Linked DNA regions of Struthio camelus. The protein of the gene in region 1 purifies or fractionates together with the protein of each later gene. This does not show direct contact. Links are inferred from orthologs where the notes say so. Each region holds a gene or a part of one and is shown in the gene's direction. Other genes may lie near its edges.

Region 1 (9,851 bases):
CACACTTGGTGTATATCATTTTTTCCTTCAGTGTGATCGCATTTTGAAGACTTAAAAGTTTTGTACTTGGAACAGCATTTTGGCAACTCAAGTTGTCTCTCATTTTCAGTTTATTATACCATAATACAGGACTCTATCCACATAAGTGTTCTTTTATTATCTGATAGTGATTTAAGATACTAGGTTTGAATAGGAATATTTTTGGCCTCTTCATGAATGAAATTAAGATATTTTCATCTAGACAATAAATGAAAGAACTAGTTGTAAGACTACAAAATTACTATATATTCACAGTCCAGTAGGCTGTTTTGTAATTCAGCCAAGAGTTAAGCAAGCCTGAAATGCCAGGTGTTTTTGCTCCAAGTGCTAGTTCTTGGTTCAGTTTAGTTCAAACGCATTTGAATAAGTACTACTCAAAATGTGAAGTCATTTATCAAATGTTTTCAAAGTATATGTTGAATATGTATTAAAAACAGATTTTGCTCAGTTTGTCAATAATGTCATCTCTACTAATAAGGTAACAACTGATTGGTTCTCACAGAGGAAACTGCACTGCAAACAAGATGGGGAGGAGGGAACAGAAGAAGACACAGAGGAAAAGTGTACCATCTGTTTGTCTATATTAGAGGAAGGTGAAGATGTCAGGTAAATAGTACCATTGAATATCAAAATATAATGCAAATGCTCTGGCTTTGAGACCATATTTTGTTATGGTACACTACTCTTTGCAACACTCCCTAGGTTAACAGCTGCAGTTATTAACATTATTTGTCATTGTAACCAATAAATAAAACAAATAGTGATGGTATTGGAGGAGCTCTTGAGGAGCCATTATTGCACAGGTTTCATAATCTTCCCTCCAACTATGGTTAAAGGTGTTTTTAATTAAAAATACTCATTGTTCCGTCTGCATTGTCTTTGGGAGAACGTAGGTTCTCTTATGATCTTCCTAAGTTGACTGTTTGTCTCATGATACAAGCCCAAACTGATACCTTTTTAAAATATATTAGAGAACATGCTACTCATTCTTTATTTAAATCGTATAGTGCTGTGTGCCTTGGCATCTCGGGTAACGAATCAGGTGTATTCTAGTGTGTCAAATTTAAGTTTTCTGGAATAATGCTACTTAAACTGTAACAGATTTTAAATCAGTGTAGCAGTAGAATTGGGCAGCTTTGTATGGGATAGTTGTTTCTAACTTACCTGATGCTTCATTTCATTGCCTATATCCATTTCTTCTTAGCACTAAAAAGAAGTTCAACAGTTTGAAAGGTTAGTGAAGCGGGGGGGCACGGTGCAGAAACACCCAAGAAGAGGGTGCAAGAAGAGTAGACACCTCAATGGCAAAATCCACACTACCATTTTTCCAATGGGTATGTTGATATGCACATGTTTTATTAACACAAATATTTTTCTGTTCTGATGACAGGCGCCTTCCATGTATGCACCTTTTCCACCAAGTATGCGTAGATCAGTGGTTGATTACTAACAAGAAGTGCCCCATTTGCAGAGTGGACATTGAGGCTCAACTGCCTAGTGAAAGTTGACACCGTTTTCCAGAACTCTTGTCCTCCCTCTCACTCCCTTTCATCCTTCCTGGTACTGCAGTCAACCAAAGATGGCATGACTTACCTGCGCAGATTTGGAAGCATTGAACCTAGAGTGCTGGCTCTGCTATATGGTACAACTAATGCTAGACCTACAGTTCGTGTAGACAGTTGAGTTTCAGTGTATTTATAAAACCTCTTTTTTGTTGTTTAGGTTTTACATTTTTTTCTTTTAATTCATTACTGTATTTTTGCATGGTTCCTTGTATTGCATTTGTTTGCACATATTATGGGCTTTGTGACCCCAGACTTGCAGGCAAGACTAGCTGCTTTAGTAAGTAGAATTGTGTGGTCTCTTTTTTTTTTTTTTTTTTGGTTTGTTTTACATAGTATCAAGCTTTGAAAATATGATTTCACTCATTACTAACCTCGGGTTCCTTAATTTAATCAATCATGTATTTTAGTTTAATGTATAAAGATCATCTAGAAAAGGATAATATTATGTATTGAGACATTCCTTAATTAGGAAAAAATGGCTGCTGTATATTAACAATATCAATTCTGAGTCAAATACCATCATTAATACTGGGAACAGAATATGAACTATATTCAGTCTGACTGATACATATAGCATACTCATCACCAGAGTTTTGTCTGATCAGATTCTTGTGTTCGTTTTAAACTTTCAGCACAATGCAGATATATTTGAATGTCAATATTAAACATTTAGACTGCTGTTCGGATTGTATTTATCTTTTTCTTCCTATGTCTAGAAATTTGAATCCCTAACTTAATATTTGCTGCTGTGAAACAGCTCTAATGAACACTAAATGTTGATTTCAGTTAGCTGGATTTGTAGATACTTGCAGATTGAAAGAAATATTAGGGAAATGGAAGAACTTAGAATCTTTGTTTGGTCTTCTGCTAACTTAAGTTGAAGTATCTGCACACTTGTTTTGGGGTTTTTTTTTGGTTTTTGTTTTATAAAACCATTCAATCAGGACTTAGAGCTGCAGGGGTTTTTTTAGATGTTGTTTTCTGGGGGTGGGCTTGGGGAGGGAAGGGGCAGATATACACGCATTCATAGAACTTCTAAAGATCCCAGGGATCTTTAGAAGTTTAGAAGATCCCTTGGGATTTTTATTAGTTTTTAAGTTAATAAAATTAGCTAAATTCACCTGTCTCTTGTTTTATTTTTCATTAGTAAATTGAAAGCCTGTAAATTTCTGTAGAAACTGAGACACAAATTATGTGGTTATCTAGTTTTGCCTTGATCATAGATACCCTCTTTATAAATTACCAACAGTCCATCACTGATTGAAATATTTTCTATAGTTAAGATTTGCTGCATAATATAGTATATAGAATTAAGTTATAATGTACTAACATTTCGCCTTTGGAGGAAGTTTTAATGCACATCAGGACTCAAGTCGCTTATAAACATTCTTTCCACACATAATAGAGTATAGTTTATTTAAATGTGCTCAACAGATGCTGAAAACTGCAAAAACAGTGAGACAGTATTACTGTCGCTTTGGAAAAGATGTTCCTAGGGGATCATATATGAACATGTCAATAAGCTTGCATTAAGCCACCTGCTTTGTAAGTGGATTGAGTAATACCTTCAGTTTCTCTGGTCTTTGTCTTTCATAATCAGATAAATGTAAAACAGTTTACAGTAAACCTAGAAAATGAAATGTTATGTTTACACTAAAAAAAAAAAATCCATTTATAAATATGACCTTATCTAATTTGATGCCTGTTTTTTGTCTGGTTAAAGCTGCTTCCCTTTTTATTTTTTTAATCTGTTAGGAGTAGCATTTTCCAATGCAGTGTCTATTGCTGGCAACAGACTTACCACCTCTGGCACTGAGGCATTAAGTGGGGAGAAATTTTTATTCCAGCATGTGTGATGAGTGGACATTTTCAAGCTTAATTGCGTTGCTAAAACTGAACTTAAAAACCACTTTGTGTTTGTAAGATGGGGGATATGGGAGAGAGGCAAAATACGATTTGGCTGCTTCAAAACCTGACATGGTTTTATGCTAAAGCTTCTTGAACATGATGGCGGTAGGAAACTGAAAGTGGGTATGAAATTAAATCTGCATTGGTAAAAATGAATAAAAATAACTGGAAGGACTGAACAACAGACACTTCCCATTCTTCAGTGAAATTGAAAAGGAGGGAAGTTAGTTTACCAGTGGTGCTTGAAGTCTGATGATATTCACTTCTTTTAAAGTTTCCAAGAAGGTACTTGTGAGACATGGGGTGGGGGGGGAAAAAAAAACACGGGGTCTGCAACATAATTGAGACCCTGGGTATGTGATGGAACCCGTTTTGGCTTCCTTACAGGACAAAGAAGCACAGGTTTTGGGGATATTTTTTTAGGAATTCTTTTATGCACCTGCTTTGGGTGCCTGGTACTAGAGGCATTTTAGTGGCCCATGAATTGAGTTGTTTAATAACTGCTACTGATATTGTCTTGCTTTTAAATGTATGCATTGTAATGTGATGTCAAACACTTAGGTATTTGCCAGGAATCACAGTGTTCTGGTCTTATATGCTATTGCAGGGGCTAATAAAGCTGCAGCCTACTTCTATTTCAGAAAGTTGTGACTTGACCATAATTTAAGGGAAAGAAAATGAATAGGCTTTTGATTTTGAAAATTTCCACCACTTACTGTGCTTTACATGCTTAGATGCATTGCCTTAAGTTTTTCTGCAGCATCTTTGAAGATAAGATTCTCAACAGTATGCATCAAATTACTTTTCATATAAAATTCCATTGTCAAAAGAAATCCTTTTGTATGCAATAAATAAAATGTTAGACTGGTATCATTCAAAATCTGTTTCTTATGCAAGTTTTTTCCTTTTGTTGTCTTCTGCTCTTATAACTCTTCATCTGAAAAAAATTCTGTCATGTATTCTTGCAGATACGGTCTAAGGAAAAATACCCTCAGTGAAGGATCAATATTTAGCTACAGATAAGTTGTTGATGTTTGGTATGCCATTTAACTGCAAGTCAGGAATTCAGGAAAACTGCTCTTATAAAGGCCATCAAAATACTAACTTGTGCACATGCGAGTAAATATAGAAGGCCACTTCTGGGAGACTGCAAAATAATCGTGCAGAATTTTACTTTTCTATCGGCTTAGGCTACTACTGTAGTATCAAGGACTTACAGAATCTCAGGATCAGGAGTCAGTTTGACTTTAATCTCTTTACAACAGCTACTTAGGAAGAGTTTATACAGACAAACTGAAACTCTGCGTCCTGCAAAGAGGAGCAGTGTTGATCTTTGCCCTACACGTGCGTTGGCGCCAGTACGGTGGCGTAAGTCTTCAGCACGTGCAAAATCTCCACCTTCAGTACTGGAGCTGCTGGGTCGTGTTCTTCAGTACGGCTGCCTTATAAAACGCCACCCCACTGAAAACGGGGACCATCCTTGCTAAACAGCAAGCGCGAATAGTTTAAGAGGGCATTTCAAAAGCAGACCTAAAATGAATAAAACCCTGGGCTGTTAGGGGAAGGCAAGGTAGAGAGGTGGCAGCAGCAGTTTAGCAGTCTAGAAGCATTGGGGCGGGGGGGGGAGGGTGATCGCGTCTAATTTTCAACTAGTTTAGCTGCAGCAGGAGAAGCCGGTCCCAGCGCCTCGGTTCAGCCCCTTGTTACCTGGGCGCTGCTCCTGCACCCGCTCGAAACCGAGCGGGCCGGGCGGGGGGCGGGTTGTTCGGTGCAGGGAGCGCGGCGGCCGCGGCTCCCGGCCCAGGCCGTCCGGAGCTCCGGGGGGGGGGGGCAGCTCCCGTGGGGCCCTGCGGCGCCGCCGCCCGCCCCCCCCCCTTTAAGAGGCCGGCCGGTACGGAAGTGGCGGAGCCGTTTCCTGTTTGGGGCGGGCCTGAGGAGCTGGGCCAATCAGGCGCGTGCATCGTACGAAGCTGCCCAATCGGGGCGCGGGCGGGGCGGCAAGCGGGGCGGCGGGCGGCACGAGGCGGCAGTCGGCGCTCGCGGCTGAGGGGAGCTGGAGCCGCCGCCTCCTCTTCTGCCTCCTCTCCTCGTCTTCCTCCTCCTCTCCTCTCTTCTTCCTCCTCTGCCTTCCCTGCGCGCCCATGGCGCTGCCGCGCCGCGCCGCCGTGAGTGCCGTGGGCATCGCGGCGCGGCCGGGCCCGGTGGCGGGACGTTGTGGGGGGGGGGGCGCTGTGAGGCCAGCGCGGGCCGGGCCGTGAGGGGGACGGCGGGGGGACCCTGCGCGCTGCCCCCGGCTCCCCCTGGCTCCCCCTCGAAACAAGGGGAGGGAGTGTGTAAGGAGGGTAGGAAATTCAGGGTATTTCACGGGAGAGTGCGGGAAGGGAAAAACAAGAGCTCCTTTTTTTAGAGTGACTTTTTGATGGTTTAAACTGAACCCACGAGAAACTCTGAAACCCAGTGGTTTCTTTACCATGCAATGTAAGGGATGGCTTACCTTTCTGTACATAAGACAATTACTGCTGTTTGTAGTAAATAATAAGAAGGAAATTGCTTGCCCCTCCCCCCCCCCATCTTCATGGAAATACCAATATAAAGTGGGTAAATAGAATAAGTAGCTATGTTACAGGTAAGCCCTCTAATGTGGACTTGAAATGTTGTGAGCAGGAAAGGAGATTTGGTGCTTATCTCCAATCATGCAGTACAGTTTCATAGTACTCTCCATAACCTACGCAGTCAAGACTTGACTTGTTATTTCTCTAAGCGCATACGAATGCGTAGGAAACAAAACTTGATTGAGTTGAGTCATGGATAGCATCTGTGGAGCATCTCAGCCACCTGAAAATGAAAAAAGGTTGGCCTCTGATTTCTAAGCTGTGATTTTATTCTTCTAGGTCCCTAGAGGGGTTGAGAATGCTGTGAATGAACCTAATCGTAAAGCTAAAACTCAAGTAACTGGCAGAAGGACTGCTTTGGAAGAAATAGGAAACAAAGTTTCAACACGAGGAACGCACATAGCTAAGGTACAGTAATATTTGAATCCTACTTGTAGGGAACAGATGAGTTATTAGTTTTATATTGATAGTCATTGTTTTCATTACAGAAAGCAGAACGCTTCAAAGCATCTACAAAACCTATAAAAGGGCCTAGTAAGATGACAAATATAATTGCACTGCCTAAACCTCCAGCTGTTGTGAATCAAGTATCCAAAGAAACAAGTGTTCCAAAGGTAGGAAGTAACGATGTTGTTCTGATTCTTAATTTCAGACCTATAACGCGGTGCTTTAGCCTCAGTTTATTTATAGAAGTATCCCATTCCCAAGACCTCGGTGCAGGGGCTTTGTTTTTTCAGCAGGTTTTAATGCACGTTCTGCTTAAAGGCTAATATTAAAGTGGCAGAATTAGCTATTGAAATATTGAACGAAACGTGAAAGCTTCTCCTTTAGCCGGCAATCGTCAGAAGGTCTACTCATTCTGTTTGTATGGCATCCTGATGAAAGCTTGCACAGCTAGCATACAAGCAATCTTTCAAATATTTATATAAGGAAGAAGTTGCATTAATAACTAAAAAAATGGGGGTGGGGGACAGAAGGGGCATTGTTGCCTAATCAGTAGATATGTAAGTGCTATAACCTGTTCCTTAGGTTCTGTCTCCGGTTCCTATGGATGTGTCTATGCAAGAAGAGGATTTGTGCCAAGCCTTCTCTGATGTATTGCTCAACAACGTAGAAGACATTGACGCTGAGGATTGGGAGAACCCGCAGCTTTGTAGTGACTATGTAAAAGATATCTATCTTTATCTGAGACAGCTTGAGGTAGGAATACCTACGCACTGATTCTGCAGCTTCTGCAGAATAGCGTTCATCTTGTTGCTCACACAGTTCTCTCACTAACAGCTGCAGCAATCGGTGCGCCCCCATTACCTCGATGGGAAGGCGATCAATGGGCGTATGCGTGCAATTTTAGTTGACTGGCTTGTCCAGGTCCACTCAAGATTCCAGCTTTTGCAGGAGACACTGTATATGTGTGTTGCAGTTATGGATCGCTTCTTACAAGTAAGTGTCTTTAAGAAGTTCTTCAACACCTGTTTGGGTTAGGGGAGTTGCTCAGTGACAATGGTCTTTAAAAGAATTGGGAATTTAGCCTTTTTTAATACCTGGAGATTGTGCTGTGTGATTGGGTAAGAGCTATTTAACATAACTTTGAGGCTGCTAGCCTCTTGGAGCCTGTCATTATAGGGACCCGTCTGACTTAAAGTGGAAAATTTCATGTACGTTCTAAGAATGAACTCTATCATACTGTCATTATAAACTAATAAATCAGAACCTGTTCATCTAGAGTTTGATGATTTGAGGTCTGCCTTTGTAAACCTCTGTGTTGCAGAGTCATCCAGTACCCCGTAAGAGGCTTCAGTTGGTGGGTGTAACAGCACTGCTTCTTGCTTCAAAATATGAAGAGATGTTCTCTCCTGATGTAGCAGACTTTGTTTACATTACTGACAATGCCTACACCAGTGAAGAAGTTAGAGAAATGGAGATCGTGATTCTCAAAGAGTTGAACTTTGATTTGGGACGTCCTCTTCCGCTTCACTTCCTAAGAAGAGCGTCAAAAGCTGCTGAGGTGGGTACTTGTCCATCCTCGTTATTTAGAACTTTTTTGTTTGCGTAAAGACAATCTGGATTGCTTCAGGCCTTTTTTATCATGTTGTCCGACTTTTCTTGTTCCAGTTTTTGAGCAGAAAGCAATGTTCAGCTATAAAATTCCACCATGTGGTGGCATGACTGTCAACGTCACTGCAATTTCCAGTAATTGTTCATGTGTCTTTACTGGGGCTTGTGTCCAATCTTAGTTGTAGTAATTTCACTGTTACAGTAAAACGAGTAGGTGATGAGTAGAAGATGAGTAGAGCACAACTGTAGCCTTTTGCCTGGTAATTAGGGTGTTCTTCAGTAAAAGGTTCCCTCAGCAGACTACTGGGCAGCTCTTGAAGTAAGCTGACTCCTTGGACTCCTTGGTAAGGAGCTACTTAACTAATTTTACACTCTTGTTGTTTGTTTCCTCCTTCCCCTTAATCTATTTTAGAGGAAGCATTTGTCTCCCAAGCTGGGCACAGCAGCGCCCAGTACAGGAGTTTCCTGTTAACATCTTTCATGCAACTCTTGAGTCTGCATTCCAAATGGATGCTAGGCTATGCTGGTCCTGACTCTGGGCTCAATTTTGACCTGAGGTAACTGTCCCATTAGGCAGTGTGATCCCTAGATGTTAATAAAGCTCTTGTTGACTGTTCTTGTTTTGCCAAGTTATTTGTCAGTTAATGGCTGGAATAAACAACCCTGGATCAGCTTGATAAAGTGAAGTAAAATGTTGTGAATTAACAAGCTCTTGATCTGATAGGCTGATGCTGAGCAACATACGCTAGCAAAATATCTAATGGAGCTGACTCTGGTGGATTATGACATGGTGCACCATCATCCTTCAGAGATTGCAGCTGCTGCATTATGCTTGTCACAAAAGATCCTAGGACATAACAAATGGGTAAGTGTTTTATTAAAACTACTGGAGCTGACTGTGTTTAGAGCAGTAATGATGCTGGTGATCAAATGATAGTTGGATGACCCGATTTACTGATGAAGGTAGACTAAGGAGTATACCGTAATAACAATCTGCAATATTATCTCTTTTTATGTGGGCACCCTTGCATAAAAGGATTTTTTCCTACAAAGGTATTGAGTTATCAGAGAAGGCCACACTGTAAATAACGCTTGATCTTTCTGCAGGCTGCAGTACAAAGTAGAATAATTAAATTATGGACTATGAACGGTGAATTGTAACTGAATTAGTGGTTACCCTTGCTGCTGCTTTTGGCTTCTGCACAGTGCAGAAGTGTGGATCCGTCTTCTAAACTGATGTACCGTTCCTTGGAGCACAAGGCTAACTCATGAAGTTTGGGGTGTCACTTACCTGAGGTGACTGGGCCTTGAGCAGAAATCCTACTTCTTTAAAAGGCTCTAGATTTTTTTTACTGTTACATTGCAGGGTATGAAGCAGCAGTACTATACTGGCTATACAGAAGACAGGCTTGTGATAACTATGAAACACATGGCCAAGAATGTTGTCAAAGTAAATGAGAACTTAACAAAATACACTGTAAGTATAACTACTCGATTGTGTTTCTAATGTTGTAGAAATGCCTTTGCTGCATATTGTGAATACTTAGCTAAATATTCTTTATGTTATCAATGCATATGCTACTCTGACACGCTTGGGAGAGGATGTTGCATCACTTTGTCCGAAATGTTCCAAAGTTAGTGCTCTGCTCTTGTTATTCTGCATGCTGGTTCA
Region 2 (10,694 bases), on another chromosome or scaffold:
CCAATGAGGGGTGATGGGGATCCAACGGAGGCCAAGGGGACAAAGCAGGGATTGAGGGGACCCAATGGTGGCCTAGGGGGATCAACGGGATCCAACAGTGGGTATGGAGACCAAATGGTGGCTGAGGGGACCCAATGGGGGTGGTAGGGAGCCAACGGTGGCCAAGGGGATCCAACAGGGGTCACTGGGACCAAACAGTGGCCAAGGGGATCATCAGAGGCCAAGTAGACCCAATAGTGGTTATGGAGAACCAATGGGGGCCAAGGGGACCCAACAGGGGTGATGGGGACCCAATGGTGGCCAAGGGGACCCAATGGTGGCCAAAGGAACCCAGTGTGGGGGGGTCTTTGGGACCAAGCAGCGGGCAAGGAGGATTAACGGTTCCCAACAGGGATTGAGGAGACCCAGTGGTGGCTGAGGGGACCCTGTGGGGGTGGTGGGGATCCAGTGGAAGCGGAGGGGACCCAGTGGTGGCCAAGGGGACCCAATGGGGATTGTGGGGACCCAGTGAAGCTGATGGGGAGCCAATGGTAACCAAGGGGACCCAGTGGGGGGGGTCACTGGGACCAAACGGTGGCCAAGGAGGATCAACGGAGGCCAAGGGGACTCAATGGTGACCAAGGGGATCCAACGGGAATCATGGGAACCCAATGGTGGTCAAGGGGACCCAGTGGGTTCATTGGGACCAAACAGTGGACAAGGGGGATCAGTGGGACCCAACAGTGCATATGGAGACCCAATGGTGGCTGAGGGGACCCAACAGGAGTCATAGGAACCCAATGGTGACCAAGGGGACCCAACGATGGCCAAGGGGACCCAACGGGGGTCATAGGGACCCAACGGGGACCCAACAGGGGCCACTGGGACCAAATGGTGGACAATGGGACCCAATGGGGTTGTGGGGACCCAATGGGAGCCGAGGGGACCCAATGAGGGCTGAGGGGACCCAACGATGGCCAAAGGGACCCAACAGGGTTGTGGGGACCCAGCAATAGCCAAGAGGACCCAGTGGTGGTGGTGGAGACCCAGCAGTGGCCAAGGAGACCCAACGGGGGTCGTGGGAACCTAATGGGGGTTGTCGGCGAACTCAGTGGTGGCCAAGGGGACCCAATGGGGGTGGTGGGGACTCAACAGTGGCCAAGGAGACCCAAAGGTGGCCAAGAGGACCCAACAGTGGCCAAGGTGGGGGGGGGTCAGGAGGACCCAATGGAGGTTGTGGGGACGCAGCGGTGGCTGTGGTGACCTAATGGTGGCTGAAGGGATGGGGGTGGCGGGGGGCCTGGCGGAGGAGCCGGGTGCCACCTGCCCCTTTGGGTGCCCGCAGAGGACCTGCCGTCGCCGCGGCGGCTGCAGAAGCTGGAGGTGCCCATCATGGCGCAGGCCACCTGCCGGCGCCTCTACGGCATCGACATGGGCCGGGGGCTGCCGCCGCGGCGCATCCAGGACGACATGATGTGCGCCGGGTACCCCGAGGGCCTCAAGGACACCTGCAAGGTGGGGACGGGCACGCGGAGGGGACGGGGGGGACATGGGGATGGGGGGGACGTGGGATGGGGGGGAACATGGGGAGGGGGACATGGAGGGATGTGGGGGACATGGAGAACATGAGGGACATGGAGGGACATGGAGGGACATGGAGGGACATGGGGGAACATGGAGGACAGAGGGACATGGAGGAACAGGGAGGACAGAGGGACATGGAGGGACATGGGGGGACACGGGGGGACATGGATGGAGAAGGAGGATATGGGGGACATGGGGGGACATGGGGGAGATGGGGGACATGAGGGACATGGAGGGACATGGAGAACATGGAGAACATGAGGGACATGGAGGATATGGGGGACATGGAGGGACATGGAGGGACATGGGGGACATGGGGGGACGTGGAGGGACATGGGGGGACATGGAGAACATGGAGGGACATGGGGGACATGGGGGGACGTGGAGGGACATGGGGGGACATGGAGAACGTGGAGAACATGAGGGACATGGAGGATATGGGGGACATGGAGGGACATGGAGGGACATGGAGGGACATGGACGGAGAAGGAGGACATGGGGGACATGGAGGGACATGGGGGACATGGGGGGACGTGGAGGGACATGGAGAACATGGAGGGACATGGGGGACATGGGGGGACGTGGAGGGACATGGGGGGACATGGAGAACGTGGAGAACATGAGGGACATGGAGGATATGAGGGACATGGAGGGACATGGGAGGATGTGGGGGGACATGGAGGGACGTGGGGGACAGGGAGGGACATGAAGAACATGAGGGACAAGGAGTACACATGGAGGGACACGGGGGGACATAGAGAACATGGGGAACATGGAGGCACATGGAGGACTGATGGACATGGAGGGACATGGAGGGACAAGGAGGACATGGAGGATGTGGGGGGACATGGAGGGACATGGACAACATGAGGGACAAGGAGGACATGGGGGTCATGGGGGGACGTGGAGGGACACGGGGGGACATGGAGGAACATGGGGGTCATGGGGGGACGTGGAGGGACCTGGAGGACATGGAGGGACATGGTGGGACACCTAAGTGAGACAGCCCACGTCCCGGCTGCCCCCACGGGGACACAGCCACCCCCCGTTGTGCCCTCGCCCCGACCCCCCCCAACCCTATAGACCCCCCCCCACATCCCCCGTGACGTCATGTCCCCCCCCAAACCCACGTGGCAGGGTGACTCCGGTGGCCCGCTGGTGTGCCGGGCCGGTGGCCGCTGGGTGCTGACCGGCATCGTCAGCTGGGGCGAGGGCTGCGCCGTGCCCAACCGCCCGGGCGTCTACACCCGCGTCAGCGCCTACACCCCCTGGATCGCCCGCCGCGTCCCCGACCTGCCCTTGGTCACCGCCGGTGCCGCCGCCTGTACCGCCGCCTGTACCCCCGTCGCCCTCCTGCTCCTCCTGGCCCTCGCCGGCCCCTGACGGCGGCTGTAGCGCCGTCGCCGCCCTCAGCCTCTTGTTCCTCCTCGTCACCTCTCTTGGGCGGTGCCGCCGGTGGTACTGCTACAGCCGCCGGCGGCGGTACTGCTACAGCCTCCAACGGTGCCCACTGGTGGTACCGCTGCCACCAACGCTGCTGCTGGTGGCCTCCTGCTCCTCCTCGGCCCGATGGTGCCGCCGGTGGTACTGGTACAGTCACCGCCGATGGTACCGCCGCCGAGGGTACTGCCGCCGAGGGCACTGCTCTCCCCCGCCTGCTCCTCGTTGCCCTTGGAGACAAGGTCCTCCTATGGAGGACCTCGAAACACCCCTAGGGGATCGCCAAAACATCTCAGGGGGGCTCAAAGCCCTATGGGGTCCCCAAAACTCTTACGGGGACCCCAAAACCTCCCTGTGGGACCTCAAAACCATCTTGGGGGGCCCCAAAGACTTATGGGGACCCCAAAACACCTATGGGGACCCCAAAACCTCCCTGTGGGACCCCAAAACTATCTCGAGGGGGTCCGAAGCCTTATGGAGATCCCAAAACACCTATGGGGACCCCAAAACCTCCCTGTGGGACCCCAAAACTATCTCGAGGGGGTTCAAAGCCTTATGGGGATCTCAAAACCATATTGGAGGGGGCCTCAAAGCCCTATGGGGACCCCAAATCTCCTGTGGGGGACCCTAAAACCATCTGGGTGACCCTAAAGTCCTATGGAGATCCCCAACCCCCCCTGTGGGACCCCAAAACCATCTGGGGGTCCCAAAACCCTATGAGGACCCCAAAATCCCTATGGAGGACCCCAAAACAACCTGAGGGACCCCAAAGCACTATGGGGGCCCCGAAACTCCCCTGTGGGTCTCCAAAACCCTTCCGTGGGACCCCAAACAGCCCTGTGGGACCCCAAAACCCCATGGGGACCCCAAAACTCCCCTATGGGACCCCAAAACCATCCGGGGGCCCCAAAACCCTGTGGGGATTCCAAAAACCCTATAGGGGACCCCCAAAACCATCTGGAGGGGATCCCAAAGCCCTATGGAGATCCCAACCCCCCCCGTGGGACCCCAAAAGCATCTAGAGGGCTTCAAAGCCCCATGGGGACCCCAACCCCCCCCATAGGACCCCAGAACCATATGGGGGGTCCCAAAGCCCTATGGGGACCCCAAAACCCTCCTGTAGGACCCCAAAACTTCCCTGTGGGACCCCCAACCTCCCCCATGGAACCCCCAAACCATTTGGGGGGGCCCCAAAGCCCTATGGAGACCCCAAAACCTTCCTGTAGGACACCAAAACCCCCCTGTAGGGACCCCAAAACCTTATGGGGACCCCAAAACCCTCCTGTGGGACCCCCAAACCATTTGGTGGGGCCCCAAAGTCCTATGGGGACCCCCAAACCCTCCTGTAGGAACCCAAAACCACCCTGTAGGGACCCCAAAACCTTATGGGGACCCCAAAACCCTCCTGTGGGACCCCCAAACCATTTGGTGGGGCCCAAAGTCCTATGGGGACCCCCAAACCCTCCTGTAGGAACCCAAAACTCCCCTGTAGGGACCCCAAAACCTTATGGGGACCCCAAAACCCTCCTGTGGGACCCCCAAACCATTTGGTGGGGCCTCAAAGTCCTGTGGGGACCCCCAAACCCTCCTGTAGGAACCCAAAACCACCCTGTAGGGACCCCAAAACCTTATGGGGACCCCAAAACCCTCCTGTGGGACCCCAACCCCCCATCATGGGACCCCCCAGACCATCTGGGGGGTCCAAAGTCCTATGGGGACCCCCAAACCCTCCTGTAGGAACCCAAAACCACCCTGTAGGGACCCCAAAACCTTATGGGGACCCCAAAACCCTCCTGTGGGACCCCAACCCACCATCATGGGACCCCCCCAGACCATCTGGGGGGGTCCAAAGTCCTATGGGGACCCCAAAAATCCCCTATTGGGACCCCCAAACCATTTGGGGGGCCCCAAAGTCCTATGGGGACCCCAAAACCCTCCTGTAGGACCCCAAAACTTCCCTGTGGGACCCCCAACCCCCCCATGGAACCTCCAAACCATTTGGGGGGGCCCCAAAGCCCTATGGAGACCCCCAAACCCTCCTGTAGGACCCCAACCCCCCGTGTAGGGACCCCAAAGCCCTATGGGGACCCCAAAACCCTCCTGTGGGACCCCCCCAAACCATTTGGGGGACCCCAAAGCCCTATGGGGACCCCAAAACAGTCCTGTAGGACCCCAAAACCCCCCGTGGGACCCCCAACCCCCCCGTGTAGTGACCCCAAAGCCCTATGGGGACCCCAAAACTCTCCTGTGGGACCCCCCAAACCATTTGGGGGACCCCAAAGCCCTATGGGGACCCCAAAACCCTCCTGTAGGACCCCAAAACCCACCCGTGGGACCCCAAAACCCCCCTGTGGGACCCCAAAAGCCCTATGGGGACCCCAAAACCGTCCTGTAGGACCCCAAAACCCCCCCGTGGGACCCCAACCCCCCCGTGTAGGGACCCCAAAGCCCTATGGGGACCCCAAAACCCTCCTGTAGGACCCCAAAACCCCCCCGTGGGACCCCAAAACCCCCCTGTGGGACCCCAAAAGCCCTATGGGGACCCCAAAACCCTCCTGTAGGACCCCAAAACCCCCCCGTGGAATCCCCAACCCCCCCCGTGGGACCCCAAAGCCCTATGGGGACCCCAAAACCCTCCTGTGGGACCCCAAAACCCCCCCGTGGGACCCCCAACCCCCCCGTGTAGGGACCCCAAAGCCCTATGGGGACCCCAAAACCTCCCTGTGTGACCCCCCCCCCAAAAGCCATATGGGGACCTGTGGGACCACCCCCCAAACCCCCCCTTGGTACCCCCCCACAACCTCTATGGGGGGGGTCCTCGGGGTGAGGGGGGGGGCGGGTGGCCGTTTTGGGGTGAAAAGGGCCGAGTTTGGGCCTGGGGGATCCCGGGGGAGAGTTGTGGCTCCCCCCGTGTCCCCCCCCCCCAACCGCCCCCCCCCCCGGGTGTGTGTGTGTGTGGGGGGGGGATAAAAAAAAAACCCGGGTGAAAAAAATAAAGAAACGGGGGAAAAAAAAAAAAGAGGAAAGAAATAAAATCAATTAACCCGGCCGGGGGGGGGGAGGGGCGGGGCGGCCGCGGGGGGCTCTGGGATGGAGGCGGACCCGGGGGGGGCGGGGCGGGAGGGGGAGCGCGGGGATTGGCTGGCCGCCGGCGGAGGGGCGGGGCCGCCGGGGGAGGGGCGGGGCGGGGCGCGGCCGTTGGCGGGAGCCGTTGGCGGGAAGCGGCTCGGCCCCGCCCCCTCCTCCTCCCCCCTCCCCACAGGGAGCGGAGCGGAGCGGCCGGTACTTGGGGGGCTGTGGGGGGGGGTTGTGGGGCAGGAGGGGGGCTGGGAGGGGGGTTATGGGGCAGGAGGGGGTCTGGGAGGGGGGGTTGTGGGGCAGGAGGGGGGCTGGGAGGGGGGTTATGGGGCAGGAGGGGGGGGGTTATGGGGCAGGAGGGGGGCCGGGAGGGGGGTTGTGGGGCAGGAGGGGGTCTAGGAGGGGGGTTATGGGGCAGGAGGGGGGCTGGGAGGGGGGTTATGGGGCAGGAGGGGGGCTGGGAGGGGGGTTGTGGGGCAGGAGGGGGTCTAGGAGGGGGGTTATGGGGCAGGAGGAGGGCTGGGAGGGGGGTTATGGGGCAGGAGGGGGTCTAGGAGGGGGGTTGTGGGGCAGGAGGGGGGCTGGGAGGGGGGTTGTGGGGCAGGAGGGGGGCTGGGAGGGGTTATGGGGCAGGAGAGGGGCTGGGAGGGGGGTTATGGGGCAGGAGGGGGGCTGGGAGGGGGGTTGTGGGGCAGGAGAGGGGCTGGGAGGGGGGTTATGGGGCAGGAGGGGGGCTGGGAGGGGGGTTATGGGGCAGGAGGGGGTCTAGGAGGGGGGTTGTGGGGCAGGAGGGGGCCTGGGGGGGTTATGGGGCAGGAGGGGGCTGTGGGAGGGGGGTTGTGGGGCAGGAGGGGGTCTGGGAAGGGGGTTGTGGGGCAGGAGGGGGCGGAGGGGCTCTGGAGGGGGAGTTATGGGGCAGGAGGGGGTCTGGGGGGGTTATGGGGCAGGAGGGGGTCTGGGAGGGGGGTTATGGGGCAGGAGGGGGCTGGGGGGGTTGTGGGGCAGGAGGGGGTCTGGGAAGGGGGTTGTGGGGCAGGAGGGGGCGGAGGGGCTCTGGAGGGGGAGTTATGGGGCAGGAGGGGGTCTGGGGGGGTTGTGGGGCAGGAGGGGGTCTGGGAGGGCGGTTATGGGGCAGGAGGGGGCTGGGGGGAGCCGTGGGGCAGGAAGACCCCCCCGCCGCCATGGAGGGGGGCTCCGCTCCTGCCCCACAGCCGCCCCCCCCCCAAGCCTCTATGGGGCAGCAGCCCCCCTTTAACCCCCCCTTTTCCCCCCCCAACACAGCACCCCCCCCCCACCCACCCAAACACCATGCTGCCCACCCGGCCCCACACTTCCCCCCGCACTCCCAGGCCCGGACGCCGGGGCCCCGGGGGGTGGAGTCGCTTGACGGGGTCCCGCCCCCCGCCCCCTTGGAGCCCCGGCCCCCGCAGCGTCACCTTCCGCCTGACGCCCTCTCAGCCTACCCTCGCCAGCCGCCTGTACGACCCCCGGCGCCCCCAGACCTTCTTCCGGCAGTGCTTCCAGGTGCTGGGCCGCCTGGGCCGCGGCTCCCACGGCGAGGTCTATAAGGTACCGCCTATGGGGCAGCCCCCTATGGGGCAGCCCCCTATAGGGGAGCTCCTATAGGGCGCTGCCTGTATGGTATCACCCATAGGTGACGGTCTATGGGGGTCCTGGGTGTAGGGCAGGGTCTGTACAGGGCTGGGACGGGGTCTGGCTCCCACCGGGAAGTCCATAAGGTACCACCTATAGGGCAGCCCCCTATGGGGGAGACCCTATAGGGCGCTGTCTATATGGTGTCACCTATAGGTGACGGTCTCTGGGGGCCTTGGGTGTAGGGCAGGGTCTGTACAGGGCTGGGACGGGGTCTGGCTCCCACCGTGAGGTCTATAAGGTGCTCCCTATGGGGCAGCCCCCTATAGGGGAGACCCTCTGTAGGGCACTTTCTATATGGTATCACCCATAGGTGACAGTCTATGGGGGCCTTGGATGTAGGGCAGGGTCTGTACAGGGCTGGGACGGGGGTCCGGCTCCCACCGTGAGGTCTATAAGGTGCTCCCTATAGGGCAGCCCCCTATAGGGGAGACCCTATAGGGTGCTGTCTATATGATGTCACCTATAGGTGATGGTCTCTGGGGGCCTTGGGTGTAGGGCAGGGTCTGTACAGGGCTGGGACGGGGTCTGGCTCCCACCGTGAGGTCTATTAGGTGCTCCCTATAGGGCAGCCCCCTATGGGGCAGCCCCCTATAGGGGAGACCCTCTGTAGGGCACTTTCTATATGGTATCACCCATAGGTGACAGTCTATGGGGGCCTTGGATGTAGGGCAGGGTCTATACAGGAGTGGGACGGGGGTCCAGCTCCCACCGTGAGGTCTATAAGGTGCTCCCTATAGGGCAGCCCCCTATAGGGGAGACCCTATAGGGTGCTGTCTATATGGTGTCACCTATAGGTGACGGTCTCTGGGGGCCTTGGGTGTAGGGCAGGGTCTGTACAGGGCTGGGACGGGGTCTGGCTCCCACCGTGAGGTCTATTAGGTGCTCCCTATAGGGCAGCCCCCTATAGGGGAGACCCTCTGTAGGGCACTTTCTATATGGTATCACCCATAGGTGACAGTCTATGGGGGCCTTGGATGTAGGGCAGGGTCTATACAGGAGTGGGATGGGGGTCCGGCTCCCACCGTGAGGTCTATAAGGTGCTCCCTATAGGGCAGCCCCCTATAGGGGAGACCCTATAGGGTGCTGTCTATACGATGTCACTTATAGGTGATGGTCTCTAGGGGTCCTGGGTGTAGGGCAGGGTCTGTACAGGGCTGGGACGGGGGTCTGGTTCCCACCGTGAAGTCCATAAGGTACCACCTATAGGGCAGCCCCCTATGGGGGAGACCCTATAGGGCGCTGTCTATATGGTGTCACCTATAGGTGACGGTCTCTGGGGGCCTTGGGTGTAGGGCAGGGTCTGTACAGGGCTGGGACGGGGTCTGGCTCCCACCGTGAGGTCTATAAGGTGCTCCCTATAGGGCAGCCCCCTATGGGGCAGCCCCCTATAGGGGAGACCCTCTGTAGGGCACTTTCTATATGGTATCACCCATAGGTGACAGTCTATGGGGGCCTTGGATGTAGGGCAGGGTCTATACAGGAGTGGGACGGGGGTCCGGCTCCCACCGTGAGGTCTATAAGGTGCTCCCTATAGGGCAGCCCCCTATAGGGGAGACCCTATAGGGTGCTGTCTATACAATGTCACCTATAGGTGACGGTCTCTGGGGGCCTTGGGTGTAGGGCAGGGTCTATATAGGGCTGGGACGGGGTCTGGCTCCCACCGTGAGGTCTATTAGGTGCTCCCTATAGGGCAGCCCCCTATAGGGGAGACCCTATAGGGTGCTGTCTATATGATGTCACCTATAGGTGATGGTCTCTGGGGGCCTTGGGTGTAGGGCAGGGTCTGTACAGGGCTGGGACGGGGTCTGGCTCCCACCGTGAGGTCTATTAGGTGCTCCCTATAGGGCAGCCCCCTATAGGAGAAACCCTATAGGGTGCTGTCTATACGATGTCACTTATAGGTGATGGTCTCTGGGGGCCTTGGGTGTAGGGCAGGGTCTATATAGGGCTGAAACAGGGGTCCGGCTCCCACCGGGAAGTCCATAAGGTACCACCTATAGGGCAGCCCCCTATGGGGGAGACCCTATAGGGCGCTGTCTATATGGTGTCACCTATAGGTGACGGTCTCTGGGGGCCTTGGGTGTAGGGCAGGGTCTGTACAGGGCTGGGACGGGGTCTGGCTCCCACCGTGAGGTCTATTAGGTGCTCCCTATAGGGCAGCCCCCTATAGGGGAGACCCTATAGGGTGCTGTCTATACAATGTCACTTATAGGTGATGGTCTCTAGGGGTCCTGGGTGTAGGGCAGGGTCTGTACAGGGCTGGGACGGGGGTCTGGTTCCCACCGTGAAGTCCATAAGGTACCACCTATAGGGCAGCCCCCTATGGGGGAGACCCTATAGGGCGCTGTCTATAAGGTGCCGCCCATAGGGGACGGTCAATGGCGCCTTGGCTGTAGAGTGGGGCCTGTAGGATGGGGTCCAGCTCCTGTGGTGAGACCTGCAAGGTACCGTCTATAGGGAACCATCTATAGGATGTACTCTATACGGGGTCAGGATTCTTGGGGGAGGTCTAGAAGGTACCACCATGGGGTTGGAGTCCTTCGGGGAACTCTATAAGGGACCGGAACAGGGTTGGGGGTCCTTTGGGGAGGTCTATGAGGGACCACCATGGGGTTGGGGGTCCTTGGGGGAGGTCTAGAAGGAACCACTATGGGGTTGGGGGTCCTTGAGGGAGGTCTAGAAGGTACCACCATGGGGTTGGAGTCCTTTGGGGAGGTCTATAAGGGACCGGGACAGAGTTGGGGGTCCTTTGGGGAGGTCTATGAGGGACCACCATGGGGTCGGGCTTCTTCAGGGAGGTCTAGAAGGTATCACCATGGGGTTGGGGTCCTTTGGGGAAGTCTATGAGGGACCACCATGGGGTCGGGCTTCTTCAGGGAGGTCTAGAAGGTATCACCATGGGGTTGGGGTCCTTTGGAGAGGTCTAGAAGGTATCACCACGGGGTCTAGCTTCTCCA

What was found.
Region 2: the proteins of CCNB2 (region 1) and PKMYT1 purify together in Homo sapiens (affinity purification with mass spectrometry; 4 studies listed by BioGRID and IntAct, with this or other methods). This does not show direct contact. The link is inferred for Struthio camelus from reciprocal best matches to the Homo sapiens genes CCNB2 and PKMYT1.

What each region holds. Positions count from the first base shown.
Region 1 is NC_090953.1:17,503,570-17,513,420, forward strand, and holds the start of CCNB2 (G2/mitotic-specific cyclin-B2), read left to right. Parts: upstream 1-5,416; 5' UTR 5,417-5,653; coding exon 5,654-5,677; intron 5,678-6,403; coding exon 6,404-6,532; intron 6,533-6,612; coding exon 6,613-6,738; intron 6,739-7,153; coding exon 7,154-7,324; intron 7,325-7,405; coding exon 7,406-7,564; intron 7,565-7,892; coding exon 7,893-8,129; intron 8,130-8,903; coding exon 8,904-9,044; intron 9,045-9,545; coding exon 9,546-9,656; intron 9,657-9,851. Other genes in the region: RNF111 (E3 ubiquitin-protein ligase Arkadia), read left to right, coding at 518-645, 1,430-1,547. UniProt on the Homo sapiens protein: Essential for the control of the cell cycle at the G2/M (mitosis) transition.
Region 2 is NC_090973.1:805,017-815,710, forward strand, and holds the start of PKMYT1 (membrane-associated tyrosine- and threonine-specific cdc2-inhibitory kinase), read left to right. Parts: upstream 1-6,093; coding exon 6,094-6,285; intron 6,286-7,539; coding exon 7,540-7,650; intron 7,651-10,694. Other genes in the region: serine protease 33-like, read left to right, coding at 1,325-1,494, 2,701-2,946. UniProt on the Homo sapiens protein: Acts as a negative regulator of entry into mitosis (G2 to M transition) by phosphorylation of the CDK1 kinase specifically when CDK1 is complexed to cyclins. Mediates phosphorylation of CDK1 predominantly on 'Thr-14'. Also involved in Golgi fragmentation.